Linked DNA regions of Alligator mississippiensis. The main gene of each other region encodes a partner of the protein of the gene in region 2 in a complex. Links are inferred from orthologs where the notes say so. Each region holds a gene or a part of one and is shown on either strand. Other genes may lie near its edges.

Evidence for each region. Proteins that work in one complex are often made in the same cells at the same time.
Region 1: the proteins of NADPH--cytochrome P450 reductase (region 2) and HMOX1 are in contact, whole or in part, in a crystal structure (PDB 3WKT), measured with the Rattus norvegicus proteins. The link is inferred for Alligator mississippiensis from reciprocal best matches to the Homo sapiens genes POR and HMOX1. Residues at the interface, in NP_113764.1 of Rattus norvegicus: Thr88, Thr177, Asp208, Asp209, Arg313, Arg514, Lys515, Gln517, Arg519, Leu520, Phe522, Lys523, His626, Lys665, Met667, Thr668, Lys669, Gly670, Tyr672; in NP_036712.1 of Rattus norvegicus: Asp12, Ser14, Glu15, Gln38, Ala75, Pro76, Glu81, Lys149, Ile150, Lys153, Ser171, Asp173, Asn174, Thr176, Lys177, Phe178, Lys179, Gln180, Leu181, Arg183, Ala184, Arg185, Asn187, Thr188.

Annotation. Positions count from the first base shown.
Region 1 is NC_081827.1:101,609,588-101,617,142, forward strand, and holds the start of HMOX1 (heme oxygenase 1), read right to left. Parts: upstream 3,106-7,555; 5' UTR 2,986-3,105; coding exon 2,954-2,985; intron 2,605-2,953; coding exon 2,484-2,604; intron 1-2,483.
Region 2 is NC_081837.1:17,426,446-17,434,224, reverse strand, and holds the start of NADPH--cytochrome P450 reductase, read left to right. Parts: upstream 1-4,763; 5' UTR 4,764-5,000; intron 5,001-5,357; exon of another isoform or gene 5,358-5,446; intron 5,447-7,779. UniProt on the Homo sapiens protein: This enzyme is required for electron transfer from NADP to cytochrome P450 in microsomes. It can also provide electron transfer to heme oxygenase and cytochrome B5.

The DNA.
Region 1 (7,555 bases), on a different chromosome or scaffold from region 2:
GATTTTTGGTGCACTTTTCAGTTCTGGGGCATTGCTTCTATGCCTCTCCAACACCACGAAAGACTTTTAACTTTGCTATGTATTCATTCAGTGGGCAGATCTGCCCAGGCACTGAAACTGCAGCCTCAGTCCGCTGCTTTTGGAACTTTACATAGGGCTACTTGTTTGCTTTCACTTTGATCACCTGGAAGCTAGACAGCAATGTCTTTCCTCTGATAGTTGACTGCTGGTGTAAAAAAGGGACCAAAAGCATGTTTCCATCTCTGAAACATGATTTTCTGAAAATATTGGTATGAGCTGTGTGCTTGTTTCTTTATTTGAAAGTGGGTTTCTTTTCATCCCATGCATTGTCACCAGTAAGAAAGGATGCGTATGTTTACATAAGCACCATATTCGAACGTTGCCCTTAGTCAGTCTTGAAAGGCCTTAGTGAAGACAAAGCGGCACAGATGGCTCAGGCTTGTTTACAAGTTCTGTTGCTGGTATACAAACCAGAAAAGAAACTTGTTCATTCTCATGGACTGGCATTGCGTCTGCAGGACCGACAGCACTAAAAAGCAGTACATCTACTTTTGCAACCAGTCAACAGATAGGACTCCGAATGCACACACTTGTAAGCAACTTGGATGAGGAAGAAAGTGCTCTTTCTACATAGCCATTTTTCAGAGTAAATCTGTAAATTACAAGAAATGTAATACAGAAATATGAACCCATTAAACTCTAATCCTGTTCATCAGGTACTTGGAAAAGTCTGACAACAGTATAGATAAAATACAGAAACGGTACTTGAAGGAGCCTTAACTAGGTTAACTGATATTTTCCAAGCCAACTAAGACATCAGTGCAAGTTGTGTGTCTTTTGGTTGGGGCTGAAAAATTCAACCGGTGAGGTCTGTATTTAACAGCCCACCGTCACATCTGATTCTCTCAGACAGCACGTGAATATTTTAGAAACGGATCCTATCCTCTGGTCTCTGCAGGGCCTCACTGTCTGTGTTCCTATGAGCACCTTCTGGATTTCACTAGGCTATGCTGGATCTCTAGTGGCAGGAGTTCAACACCTAGGATTATCCTCAGGAACCGATGGATAATTGACTTAGCCTAGCTATTTCCAACACATCACCAGTATTCTCCTTTCCCATGCACCTATACTCAGAACAGAGACCAGCTCAACAACAAAGCACTTCCAGCTCAGTAATAAAGCATTTACACACCGGATCACCCACACACACACAACTTGACAATCCATGCGTCACTTCCTGTTGTTTAATAGGGCTTTCCAGCTTAGGTGGCTTCCCTATTTTTTATGGCTTTGGCATGTGGCTCAGGATTATTTATCCAGGGTTTGGTTTACATAGCATCTATAACTTGTTCTACTAGAACTGAACAAAAACAGTGAGCTCTTGGGTGTTTGCAACAGATAGAGTCCACTCAAATTCATGGGTGAGCTGAGCAGTTGCGCCCTCACATTCAGTACAGGACCACATTATAGTTCTTATATTGAAGGACAAAGTGCCAGAAACTGTTTTACAACCTGACAGACCTTGCTTTTAAAAAATACTTTTCAATAACCAAGTCAAGCTGTCCCAGTTTTATTAACCCTTATTACTTCTAATTTATACCCACTCAGACTGTTCTAATGCAATGGTGCTCAACCTTCCAGCCCCACGGGCCAAATGTGTGGCTCAGGGCCAGTCTGCATGCTGGATCTGGGCCTCACTGTGTGCGGGTGCAGCCTAGCACACCGGGCCACATCATCCTGCCTGTGGAGCTCTCCACAGGTCCAGAAAATTGGCAGCACGGGAGTGGCAAGTAAAGCTACCACCACTCTACCACTGCCATCTTTTTTTAATATGTGGGAAAACCCCCTGGCTGGATGACATGGCCTCCAGGGGTCCATCTGGCTGGTTGGCTAGAGGTTGAGCACCATCATGATTGTAATGAGTTCTTCACCTTCACTGGTGTTGTAACCTTTCATATGTTTGTATACAATTATACCACCATTAGACATCACTTAACCATAGTAAAACCCCTGGCATTCAGTTGCTTGAGTACTTCTTTGTAAAGCATTCCCTTGAGTTCTTTTATCTTCTTTATGCCGCCTTGGCAAGGCAAGGCTTATATTATGCCCCTCAGCCTATGCATCCTTTTATAGATGCCCCTCAGCCTAGCCTTCCAAGGCTTATATGATGCCCCTCTTTGCCATCCATCAAGACACGTACAACTCTACCACACCATTGGCAAGAGGAGCTGGTAAGACACTTAGACAGCCCTCGAGTTGCTTTGGGCCAAATGGTCATCTTATAAGTGACGTGATATTATGTGGTTGGGATACAAAGACTTTATTCCTTAAGGAGAAAGGAGGGCAAATGATACTCTTGGCACAGCCAGTCTGAATTAGGTATAGATAAATATTCCCAAAGTGCACCCCCTGCATCACCCAACCCTTTCCCTCACAGCCCCAAACAATGCTACCAGGAGTACCTTAAATTCCTGGAGTGACACTTCTGCCTTCTGAAACTTCTTCATGAACTCTGTGTTCTCTGCCTGTTCATGCACCTCCTTGGTGGCTTCCTTTATGGACTCTGACAGGTCTCTGGTTGTGCTGGGAAAATGGGCAGAAAAAGGTGTTAGCGTCTAAGGTACCTCACTATCCCCTGCACAATGAGAATTAGCTCTCTGGGAGCAAGTAAGGGGTGGAGGCCGGGAAGAGAAAGCAGTACCCCACCCCAGGAGGGCATGGGTGGCGGAGGTTCACCAGCATTCCAGCTTCTGTCCAAACAAGGCAGGGGACAGGGTGAAGACTGTCAAACCCTAGGTGGAGGGGAGTATCCTATTCCCAGTGGAGAAGAGGTAGAAATGGGACCCCAAATCCCTATCTCAAGGAACACGGGGAGATCAAGGCTGTTCCTTTCTTTGGATAATTTCCCTCTGTTTCTAGTCCCTTCGCTCACGTTTCAGGGCTGGCCGTCCTGGACGTTTCCATTTCTCTTTGCTTTTCTTTCTTCTCTTCTTTGCTCCTCTACAGCCTTCGTATGATCTTTCCCTCTTCTCCGTTCTCTCTCGTCTCAGGACTCTTGGAAGCTGCTGAGCTGAGCTGCCCGTCCCCTGCGTCCTGCTTTATACTTTGTCAGATCACGTGAGCAGCCCAGAAAACAGCTGGCCTCCATCCAAGTTTAAACTTATTGCGACATACATACTTTGCTACCAGGAGAGGGCTGAGAGACTTCTCCTAGGCAGCTTGCCCAGGCTTATTAACCCCTTTTCTGCTGTGACAATGAGAACCAGATAATCCAGAACAATAAATGGTCCAAGCTTCTTGTACATACGCTGACTTTCAAAAAAAAAGGGGGCTGGGGGGGGTCCATTTAAAGGAGGACTAAATGCAAATGAGGAACGTGGGCAAGGTCATTAGCTATCATGTTCCACAGCCAGCACAGCAAGTTGTAGTGTATTATGCGAGGACGGGGAATTGTCCCCTGCCCCATACAGAAGGCTGAATTATCCAAGTACATGTTAAGGACTTAAAAATTGATGTGCCAGGTCTGGGCCTGAGGTGGAGCTGGAGGTCTGCAAATAGTTCAAGTGACCTGGGTCTAGGGGCAAGAGTAACTACATGGCTCATTAATTGGCTGGCTTGTGTCTGCGACTGGTTTGTGTCTGCCAACTAACTTATCTGGGGAAATTAATAACTGGAAGTCAGAGGGCCCATGGGGGGTGCTTATCTCCAAATTTCAGAAGCTTGGCCTGTGACAATGAAAAATGGATCCACTGGCTTTGCTTTGGGGATTACGGTTAAAATGGGACTGCAGTTCTGCCAAGGAAACAGGGCAAGAGCCGCTTGACTTGGACTCCTAGCCTGCACGGTACCTGGCACTGATTACAGACTGCTCCAGTACTCTGGTGTGAAATTAGGCCCTCAAGAATTGTATGCCTTCATATGTTTTTGCATCAAGTGGAGTTAGTTGTCTGCTCAGGAAATATGATGCAGCATTTTTACAGCTGACTCAGCGGGGCCACTCTCCGACTACCCCTTTCTCTTAAAGCAACAGGAGCCTTCCAGAAAAGTCTTGTAAAGCCCTCGGCTTCCTTTCTCAGTCCTATATCTTTGCATTCTTCCTGCTGCTATTTTTCTGCATTGACCATGCAGGATAAAATAAATGTATCACACATATGCAGGTATAACATGCGTCTCTACTGAGATGCTGCATCCTTCACAAAGCCGGGAATATGCTTTTGATTTTGGATGTCCTGTGCAGTGATCAGAAGCTGCACGTGGAGAATCTGGAGAGACTCCGTGTCAGTGAAGGTGGCAGCCATGAAGTGACTATTCTCCTCTTGCATTATTCTCCTCTGGGACACAGAAATTCAGCTCTCTTCAGCAAGCCCCGGTAGAATGTGGGAAACTCTAATATATGCATTACTGTTGATAGAGTACATTTGCCTGGTATGAAAGAAACTCCTCCCTTTATTTTTTTATTTAAGTCTGTGATATTTGAAGGCATGCTGAAGAGCTGGCCTCTGCAACACTTCCTTATGGTCTGCCCTAGCACTATTTGCCCTGCCTCAGTTTCCAAAGGAAATTTTACTCACCTTTTTATCTTGACTCTTTCCTGGAGGATCTGACATGCAACAATACTGGTGCTACAGTTACAGGAAAAGTGCCAAGAGGCTGGACACTGCAAAACCAACTTAAGTGTTATGAACTTAAAGTGAACTTCAATGAAATGAAATGATGGTCCTGAGGGGAAAAGAGACTATGTCCTAGGCCTTTTCCCCAAGAGTTCTGATCCTCCAGGCTTTTACATTGAAGTACTTTACAAAAAACCAGTACTGTCTGTCTGCTTGGGGTCTGTCCCTCCCTGGGGCCTGCTATGAAGACCCTTTGGAGGAGAACCCTTTCACAGTCCCACTTCTGCGTTTCCCTTCTCCAGCCACGGTGTGCAAGCCCAGAGGATAGGCAAAGCAGAGAATACAGCGTTCTCTAAAAACTACCGCGTGACAAACAAGGGGTATTTGCCAGACCGGGGCACAGCTGAATGTAGGCTCTTGGTGTGAGAGGGAAAGGTTGACTCAGTAATTTTAGCCTGTAATGGAACAGAGAGAAAGCGGCTTGAATCCCTCATTAAAAGAGACACAGTAGAGGTGGCAACAGCTTCACAGAGTTTAAAAATCATTCCCCTAAGAACAGAAGCAAGTCTCATTGGGGAGAAGTGTTATAGCAACCCCAGCCCGCAATGGGCAATGGCATCATTGAGAGGATGTTAACAGTGCACAGACTCATTTTTCATTACCTACAGCAATATGGCCCAGCCTAGTTACCACAGATATGGTGCAGCTGTTGAGAGTCATTTAACAATTTCAGTTTAGAGATCAAAGGTGCGGTCTGAGTTGCAGAGCAGTGGTCAGAGTAGGAACTCTGAAAATATATGCTCCTAACATGTCAAGTATGCCTATATAGAGGTGGATCCCAAAAGCTTTGCACTTCTAGAGACATGGGAATAGAGTGCGGAGGGATTCCTCAGTTAGTCACTCTGCGTAATGGGTTTGCACAGCACAGACAAATTTCAAGGAAAAAGTGTTGACAAGGTGAGAGGCAAAACAATGGGAGTTTGCAGTAAAAAATACCCCATGCTGATGGCTATGCAGTCCAGACAGTGTATCCAGTGTGCCCGTAGGAATCCTAGTCAAGGAAGGGCTCCAAATGCAAGGAGAACTCCTAGCATTGGCAACCAGCCTGAACGTATGGTAACACTCATGCCAAGGGCTGCAATAAGAAATGCTCCAGAGGACACATGCTATGTATTAAATAAGTGGCCCTGGAAACCAGTGAGCTCCCCAGGGCACTTGGATGGTACACAAGGAGGTTACGTTAATTCTGCTGGTAGTGTGGTGGGAGTACACAGGCACCGACAAGCTCTGCGGGCACATACAGTCCCACTCGACTCAGGGCATACAGATCAGGAAAACACTAGCAAATCCTGCAGCACGCTCACTGTACCGACAAAGTCCCCCCATCTGTGGCTTCATCTGTTCACTGGTCCCTGTCGCTCCACAAACACACCAGGGGAAAAAAAACCACGGGCAGTGAGAGGACAGGAAGACAGGGCCAAAGGAAAATTACATATTAAATAGCAAAATAAGCCCTGCTTCTATAAACACTCCCACCTGTACTTAGCTTTTTGCTGATGTGTAGTCATTTTGAAGTCAAAAGTAGATGATTCCCATATGCAAGATGAAGAACATGCATAAGGGTTTTCACTACTGGGGGACCACATCCTTTGACAGCTTCACTAACAGGGACATTTTCTGGAAGACTGTGTCTTTCTCAGACTGAGGGAATCAGCAGGAGTTAGAAAGAAAGCTCTGCTTTACCACAGCTCCCAACATCACAAAAGGCTGTTGACCGTCCCATTCCAGTTCCTTCCAGTCAGCTTTGTTAGCTCTAAGGGGACAAATAACTTGCGTCTCCTTCCCTGCATAGTACATGCCTAGATTTAAGATAACAGAAACCAGCTTGCATGGAATAATTTCCAGAGCATTCTGAGGTCTGATTGTGTCCAGAATGGGACTGGAGCCAAGTCAAACAGCTGCAATCTCAGCCCAGGAAGCCATGAGATTGACACACAGGCTCACATGAGCGCCTGGCCTGCTGTGACTCAGCAAAAAAGCCCTGCCCGGATGGAAACAGTTACTCAGCATTCCAGGGCGTAAACCTAGGCTGCCGTGACTCAGCAAAACGAGGAGGCAAGCATGCACTTTTTGAGGCTGTTGAAAGGGTTTCTCAGGATAATCAAAAGGCTTGTCTCCTCCTCTGCTGTGTAAGCTTTAGGATTCGGCATGCCGTAGTTTGGGAGTCTGCAAAACAGCTGGAAATCCTGCTAGAAACCTGCAGTTCTGCAGTTCTAAAGCTGCCAGTGTCTCTAGTTCCAGATAAGCTAAATAAAGTGACTATTTATTGTACCCACCTAAATAGGGCATGCCCCGATGAGTGTGCACAAACAGGGGCACGCATTTCCCGCTGGACAAATAGCAGTGGAACATATTTGTGCTGCTGCTGGTTGTCCCAGCATGCCCCTGCATGCATGCTTTGGGGTGCAGCAAATAGACCCTGGTGGGCTAGGGAGGCCGCCTGGCCTGGGGGCCTCCTCGGGCTCTGTTTCTGGTGGTGTACACTGTTACCACATGTGCCGCACCACTTTTTTTAGTGGTGTTTTTTTTGACACCAGGATCTGTCAGTGTCAAAAAAACCTGTCGTGCTGCTAATCAGCAGCGTGGTGAATGGGTGTGCCTGTGCCATGTGCGGTTTGCGGCACTTCAGACGGGTTTGAAGTGCTGCAAAATGCACGTGCATGCTCCTTGAGACATGCTTATAAATCCTTGCCTCTCATGTTTCCTAGACCATTCTGGGGGCAACATCACACCAACCCTACTGTAAAATGTAAGGGTTTGTACAACTGGGTGGATTAAGTGCAAAAAGGTACCTTTGGCAGCCTCACAAACAAGGACATGCTCTGGCAGGTTGTGTCTTTTGAGGACTAAGGGAGCTAGCAGGA
Region 2 (7,779 bases):
ATAGGTCCGTTATGGAATGTGGAAAACAATCTAGTTACAGATGATGGAGAGAAGGCTGAAGTATTTAATGTCTTTAGCTCAGTTTTTATGAAAAGGGGCAGCTACCATCTGACAAGTGCAATTCCCAGCAGAGATAGGGAAGGAGACAAGCAGTTTAGAGTAATGGCAGAACAGGTTCAGGATTACTTAGAGAAGCTAGCTGCTTTCAAGTTGGCAAGACCTGATGGGATGCACTTGAGGGTACTGAAAGAATTGGCTGAGGTAATTTTAGAGCTACTGGCAATCTTTTTTGACAACTCATGGAAGTCGAGTGAGGTTCCAAATGGTTGGCAAAGGACAAATTTAAAGAAAGGGAAGAAGGAGGATGCAGGGAACTACAGATCAATCAGCCTGACCTCAATACCAGGGAGGATCTTTGGCAGCTCTCTCTCAAAGAAGGCTAACATCAACGAGGAACTCCAGCGTAGGATCTGATGTGACAGCTCTGCCTTCAGAAGACTGGACATGACATCAGGACTCAAACAAAGCTCCTACCATATAAGGTTGTGGCAATCCTAACTCTTCTCTATAGTTGTGAAGTTTGGATGATCTACAGGGACCACCTGAACAGTCTGGAATACCATCACCAGCGCTACCTCTGGAAGATCCTTGGCATAGAGAGGGAGGATCATCACATAAATGCCAGTGTCCTCACTGACACTAGCACCCAGGGCTGGATTAACCCTTTAGTGGGCCCTTGGCAAGCAAACTTGTGGGCCCTGGGCTGGTCAAGACCTCCCTCCCCACCCCAGTGCTGCCACTGCTGCTATTAGGGGACAGTGGTGGCAGCGGCACCAAGGCCAATGGAAGGGAAGGGAAGGGAAGGGAAGGGAAGGGAAGGGAAGGGAAGGGAAGGGAGGTGGATGAAGCCATTCACACCACCACCATGGAGGAAAGGACCTGGGGTCCCCACAGCTCAGGGCCCTAGCCATGTGCCTAGTTTGCCTATGCGTTAATCTGGCCCTGTTAGCACCACCATTAGGGAAGCACTGATTACTCAACATCAACTGCAGTGGATAGGGCACTGTGTGTGCATGCCTGATGTACATTTACCAAAATAACTGCTATACTCCCAACTCGGCTAAGAACGAAGGACACATGGGGGCCAGAGGAAATGCTTCAAGGACACCCTCAAGGTGAGCATTAAGTGTGGCAGACACACCACAAATTGGGGAAAAATTAGCTTGGACAGGGCTACATGGCAATGCCTTGTGAGAGAAGGTACATCTTACTTTGAGGAAAACTGTCTCACCCTGGAGACAGAAAAATGACATAAATGAAAGGAAAGGAAACAAGAACAAGAAATGCTCTGACCCCTTCCTTTAACCACCTGTAGCATTTGACAGAGAGTATGTGGCTCTAGGATGGGCCTTGTTAGTCATAAATGACTCATTTACAACCCTTTAGTTGATCTGTGGGACTGATCAGCCTCAACCATGGGAGTTCACTGACAGCCAGCATGGATTGGGTCTCAAGGAATGCATTGTGAAACACTTAGAGGAGAACAAGGTGATTTCAAACAGACAGCATGGATTCACAAATAGCAAGTCGTGCCTGACCAACCTGATTTCCTTCTATGATAAGGTGACAGGCCCTGTGAATGGGGGAAGAGCAGTGGATATGATATACATTGACACCAGCAAGGCTTTTGACACTGTCCTACAACATTCATATTAACAACCTAAGGAAATACAGACTAGCTGAAGGTATTGTAAAGTAGATTAAAAAAACCTGGTTGAATCATCATACTCAGCGAGTAGTCCTCAATGGCCTGATGTCTAGCTGGGAGGAAGTATCAAGTGGGACTCATCAGAGCTCTGTCTTGGGTCTGGTATTGTTTAACATTTTCATCATAGTTTTGGAAGATAGGATCGAGTGCTTGCTTGTCAAATTTGTGGACGACACCATGTTGGGTGGAATTGAGGATGCTCTGGAAGTTAGGGCTAGGAGATCTAAAATAACCTGGATTGAATCAGGTTGGTCTGGAATCAATCAGATGAGATTCAGCAAGAACAAGTGCAAAGGCCTGCACTTGCGATAGAATACCCACAGGCATAAATACAGACTGAGGAATGAGTAGCTAGGCTGCAGTACTGCAGAGTAGGACTTGGAGGTTATGGTGGGCCATAGGCTGAACACAAGCCAGCAGTGTGCTCTTGTTGGGCAGTGGGGGAGAGGAGCAAACAACATCCTGGATTATATTAACAGGAGTGACTTGCAAATCAAGGGAAGCGATTCTTCTCCTCTATTCAGCACTGGTGAGGCCTCACATGGAGTTTTTTGTCCAGGTTTAGGACCCACGCTTCAAGAAGGATTTGGACCAATTGGAAAGAGTCCAGTGTCCAGAGTGACAAAAATGATCAGGGGCCTGTGATATGAGACCCATGAGGAAAGGCTGAAAACGAGGGTTATTTTAGTTTGGAGAAAAGAAGACCGGTGGGGGGGGCGGATTTGACAACAGTCTTCAAATACCTGCAGGGTGATTATAGAAAGGAAGGAAATAGGCTTTGCCTCTGTGGCTATAGGGGATGTTACCCCTCAAGCTGCAACGGGGAAAATTTAGATTGGAGATTAGGAGGAACTTCCTAACTGAGGGTGGTCGAGGAGCCTAAAGAAGCTGTGGAATCTACATTCTTGGAAGTTTTCAAGAGCAGGTTAGAAAGACACTTGGCTTAATCAGGCAGGCCTTGAGCAGAGGGCTGGACTAGATGACCCTTTCCAGCCATATTTCCTATGATTACAGAACAGCACTAATTATTTTTCAGGGGAAAACTCTTTATTCTAGAATAATGTCCACATAAGAAAATAACTATCTTGATCAATTTTCTCAAGAAGATAAGAAATATTGGCTGATGGGAAGGACTGCAGGCATGCAAGTTTTTGCTAGGAAAAAGTGAGTGGGTCTTCATGTATCCAGTGTGTATGCTTTATATCATGACAAATGAAAGCTAATCTGCAGTATCTTAGTTCTCTTTCATTAGTGAAGTAAGAGACTAAAGTAGAAGGGAAAGGATCAAAAGGGATGAGATGTCTAGTAACAGCTTATTTTAAACGTCAGCATGGTGAAGTGTTAGTAGTCAGGAGCCAGCTTATGACCTGGTTGCCTTTCACAGCTGAAGATTAAAAAGAAAATCCAAGCAGCAAAATCAGTCTAATTGAAAAATATACCTTATAGTTTTGCTTATGAAAAAATAATATTATTTAAATGTGAATTATTGTTGACCAGGACCCTCCCGCACAAGGTGCTGTACATTCCTGGAACAAATGCACATTCCAGGGCACTGATGTAAACCCATGTAACTATATGCACACACACAGATTAATTATACAGCTGCTACTGATTGCCCACATGAATTCACTGTACATACAATAATAACACCTACCTACATATTTGTAACTCGTGACTCAAAACTGTTGACATTCCATGTTATTGTTGACATGGTATCTTAAGGGATAGATTGGGCACCTTTGCTCCATAATATCCTCCGAGCAAGGCATCCCAGGAAAAGGTGCAGCGGCAGAATCAGGGTCTCAATGGATATTCAGGTAATCCTATGTGTCTACGAGAAAATGTTTCTTATTTCTGCTGATACCATGACAAAAGGAAGACTGGCACGGAGGCAGGCAAAAGAACAGCTTCTGCATAACACTTTGTCCAGGTACAGCACAGTGCATCTTGGTACAGGTCCACACTATGAAATCCTACTAGCAAAATAATGGTGGTTAAAAGCATGAACATGACACCCCTAGCCAATGTAAATGTACCAGGAGCCCCTTACCCCCATTATGAGCGTCCTTTTGCTGGTCTATGTCATCTCAGGCAGTGGGTTAACTTAATGAGCAAGACTGTCTGTTGCTGGTATAAGCTGAGAGCCTCTCTCCATTATCGGGCTGCTGCTGCTGCAGCCATAGCTGTGCAGGAGTTGGGAATAGCGGCAGGACCCCCTTGTGGAGATGCAACATATGGCAACAGAGGGGTTTTTTATTAGCCAGATCACACCCTCAAAAGGCAGAAGCTGAGCTAGCAGAAGGCCCCTTCTGTCAGCCTAGCTGTCCCCAGACAAGGGGCCTGCCTACAGTCGTATCAGCGGGGGTGGTTATTTGTTTAACACCTAGTTGACATAGCTTTGCCACCACACTAAACAGACTGAGCTCCAGTCTCCTGGTGAGGGCCTTTACCAGTATAGCTCCACTACTATTGCTGTCATGGCAAAGCATTTGTAATGCAGACTGAACCTGAATTTAATTCAGGCAGAAAAAGGCACAGCTCTGCATCCTACTTTGATCCCATCCAGATGCCTTTAGCATGACCCCTGGATTCCTGAAGGATAACAGCCCTTCTGGACTGTTAAATCTCTCCAAGAGCACCCTGATGCTCCACTGATTTCAACTAAGCAGGGTTGAAGGATGGCTGCACAGCAAAGACACGAGAGGGACAGCAGGAAAACAGTTAATTGTGTAAGTAGCTGCCAGCACGGAAAGGAAAGGAACCTCGTATCCTGCTGTAGGAACATGCTTATTTCTATCCTACCCTGGGCCAGGAGAGCGTGGCACATCTCAGGGACACTTTCGAACAACAGAAGTGTTATCATGTTCCTGACTGCTCTGCCAAATGACCCCTTACAAGGATGAATCCAGATAGTGCAGCTGAGCAGAACTCCTCCCTCTCTTCCCGCCCACTTCCACAGATGATTTCTACCCCTGCTTGAACTAGGCAGGCTTGGCTCTGTAGATAAAAGGAAACAGGAGGGCAAGTCAGTGCAGGAGGAGGAGACTTTCATTCCGTGGAAACAGGCACCGCTCTCACTTGACCACACTACAGACACCTCGGGGCTGAGCAACCCGGAGCGCACCGGCTCCGCTACCTCACTATAACACTACCTGGATGGTAAAGGCAATCAAAGGACAAGAACAGAGCCACAGCTGATCACATCTGGAAGAACCTCTGGCACCCTGAGAAGGTCAGCGCGGCTCTCACGAGCGTCTGCTCCACACGTGGCCCGGCCCGGAGCCGTCCCGGTTGGGGCAGGTCGAGCTAGTGTCACCGGCCTGAAGGGCCGAGCGGGCAGCTCCGCACTGGGGAGCGGGAGCGAGGCCGCGACAGCCGGGCAGCCCCGCCGGGTTCCACGTCGCAGCCCGAGCCGCGGGCGGGGAAGCGGGGGCGACCCCCAGCCCTCCCGGCGCAGCTCCGCGACCAGCCCAGGCTGCTGCCGGCACCGGGCCGTACCAAGGCCGTGGGAGGGAGGGGGGTGAGCATTCCGCGGGCGGCTCCGCTATTGGCTGGAGGGAGCTGCCGCGACTGCGCAGGAGGCGGCAGAACCGGCCCCCCCCCCCGTCCCGGGAGTGGTCTGTGCCGCCGGAAGTGCCGGCCGCGCCGGGCCTGGGAGTCGCCGCCGGGTGCGGGGAGGTGCGTGCGGCGCCGCGTGGGGCGGGCGGGGGAACCGGGTCCGCGTGGGGTGTCTCGCGGGGGCGCCGCGACGCCTGGGCTCGGTGTGGCGGGGCCGGGGTTCAGTTTCCGCCGGGGAGGGGGCCGCCGGCAACCGTCGCGCTCGGCCTCGCCCGCTCCTTTCGGCGAGGAGCAGCGCGGGCCGGGCCGGGCCCAAGCGGCGGCGGCCACTTCCCCGCGCTGCGGCCCCGCGGAGAACCCTGCGCCGGGCCGTCCCGCCGCATTGTCCGACCTGCTCTGAAAAGCTGCCAAGGAAGGGGCTCCCGCGGCGGCCTGCGCTGCTCCGCGCCCAGAAGCTTTTGTGTCTCGTCGTTTCTTGACCAGCCAGGCTGGTCTCTGGTGCCCTTGAGACGGTTTGGCCTCATCCCGCTGGTGGAAAAGGAGAACAACTGATCACCCTTCTCCTTGTAACAGCCTTCGGCACATGGGAAACTCTTATAATCTTCCCAGTCTCCTTTCTAGACTAAACAAACCAAGTCCGTCGGCCTGTTTGTGTAGATCCTGGTTTCTACATCTCTTATAGCTGGAGTGAAACTAAAGAGTAGGAAGGGTTGAACAGCTGGGATAGCTCCTGACAGTGAAGTTGTGACTTTGTGGAATAATTTTGCTGAAGGAACTGGTGAAAACTTCCACTCCTCCAACCTGCTCTAACTTTTGATGTTTAATACCCAACAGTACAGTGCTTTTGTGATTGCAGCATCCAGGTTTAATTGGTAGAGTAGACTTGAATGCTTACACCAAATAACATTTGCCCCAAACCTATTTTCAGTGCACATACCAGGGTGCTTCCTCCCATTCATAAGGAACCTGGTAAACAGGGATCCTGGTTTTCTCTGATTAAAAAAAATATCCAATTTTTGGTTAAAAATAAATAAAAGTAACCCCAAATCCATATTTTTCTTGTGGAAAAATATGGATTTGGGGTTGTTTGTTTTTTTTCTTAACTGAAAATTAGGGTTTTTTTTTTAAATTGTAGAAAATCAGGATCCCTGTTTATTAGGTTTCTTATGCATGGGCGGAAGCACTCTGGTATGTGCACTGAAAATAGGTTTGGGGCAGATATTGTTTGGTGTAGCCATTCTTTAAAAAAAAATATTGGGGTTGAAATTAGGCAGTGGAAAAGCCTTTTAAAGAAATTCAGAGGAACAAATGTAGTGAAGAGGAAGCTCCCATCTAATCCGACTAAAACTGGACGATTGTATCGTGGAAATTCTCCTGCACGTTCAGCTTTGGTTTCTAATCAGTCTTTGTTTGACAGTTGATTTGCAGGTCTAACGCCAGAAGGAACTGAGATTTGGTCAGTTTTGTTACTAAAATGTTTCCCATTTCTGAATGTGAATCTTTACTTTTGTGTGGAGCTTCTAGTTCCTAGGTGCTCTAGATGCACAGGTTTCCCTCGATTTTATGTGGGTTCTTTATATGCAAACTTGCTCTTATGCAATGAGCATATTTAAACCCATAGTTTATTATATGTGAGGTAAATTTGCTCTTACGCAATCAGTAAACATGCGTGCCCCCCCTCCTCCCCCCCGCCCAAGCAGGTAAGTCTGCGGGGGGAGGGGAAAGGGCCGTGTCCCCACTCACCCCAGCCCCGGCTGCAGTGGCCTTGGGAACAGCCAACACCAGCTGCCTGCACCAGGGTACTGCATAGTGCAGGAGCAGAGGTGAGTGGGGACAGGTGGAGCATGGTGCAGCCTAACAGCTAGTGCTGCTGCTCCTGGCTGTTCCTGGGGCCGTTCTGTTCCCTCTGTTTTGCTGTGTTGTGCAGCCCTGGGAGCAGCACCCCTGCCCCTTCCCTAGTCCCAGCCTCCCTCCCTCACCGCCATAGGAACATATTCCTATTTGTTACATTGCAAAGTATGTTTGCTTTATGCGAATTTGATTTATGTGCCGTTCTCTGGGAACGCATGTACAGCATAGATAGAGGGAAACCTGTACTGGAAATTGCTCCATCTGCAGCCATGGCCTGGGGTAAACTGGAGGAGCAGCTTTTACCAGTGCATGTTGATCCTACCCAGTAATTTCTGCTAGGAGCTGGGCTGGGTCTTTACTTAGCACATCCTACAAGTCTCAAGGGAAGAGCACCCCCTACTGATTTGCCAGAACCACCTCCTTCATACCAGTCTGTTACCGCCTCTGAAGCTTACCTGGAAACCTCCTAGGACCACACTTGAAGGGAACAAATCCCATAGCATTTTGTTGGAGGCAGTTTTTTGTTCAGTTCCTACAGGGCTGCCCCAAAGGTCATAGCAAGAATTATAGTTCCCCGGTGGTGCTTACAGTAACTGTTTCAT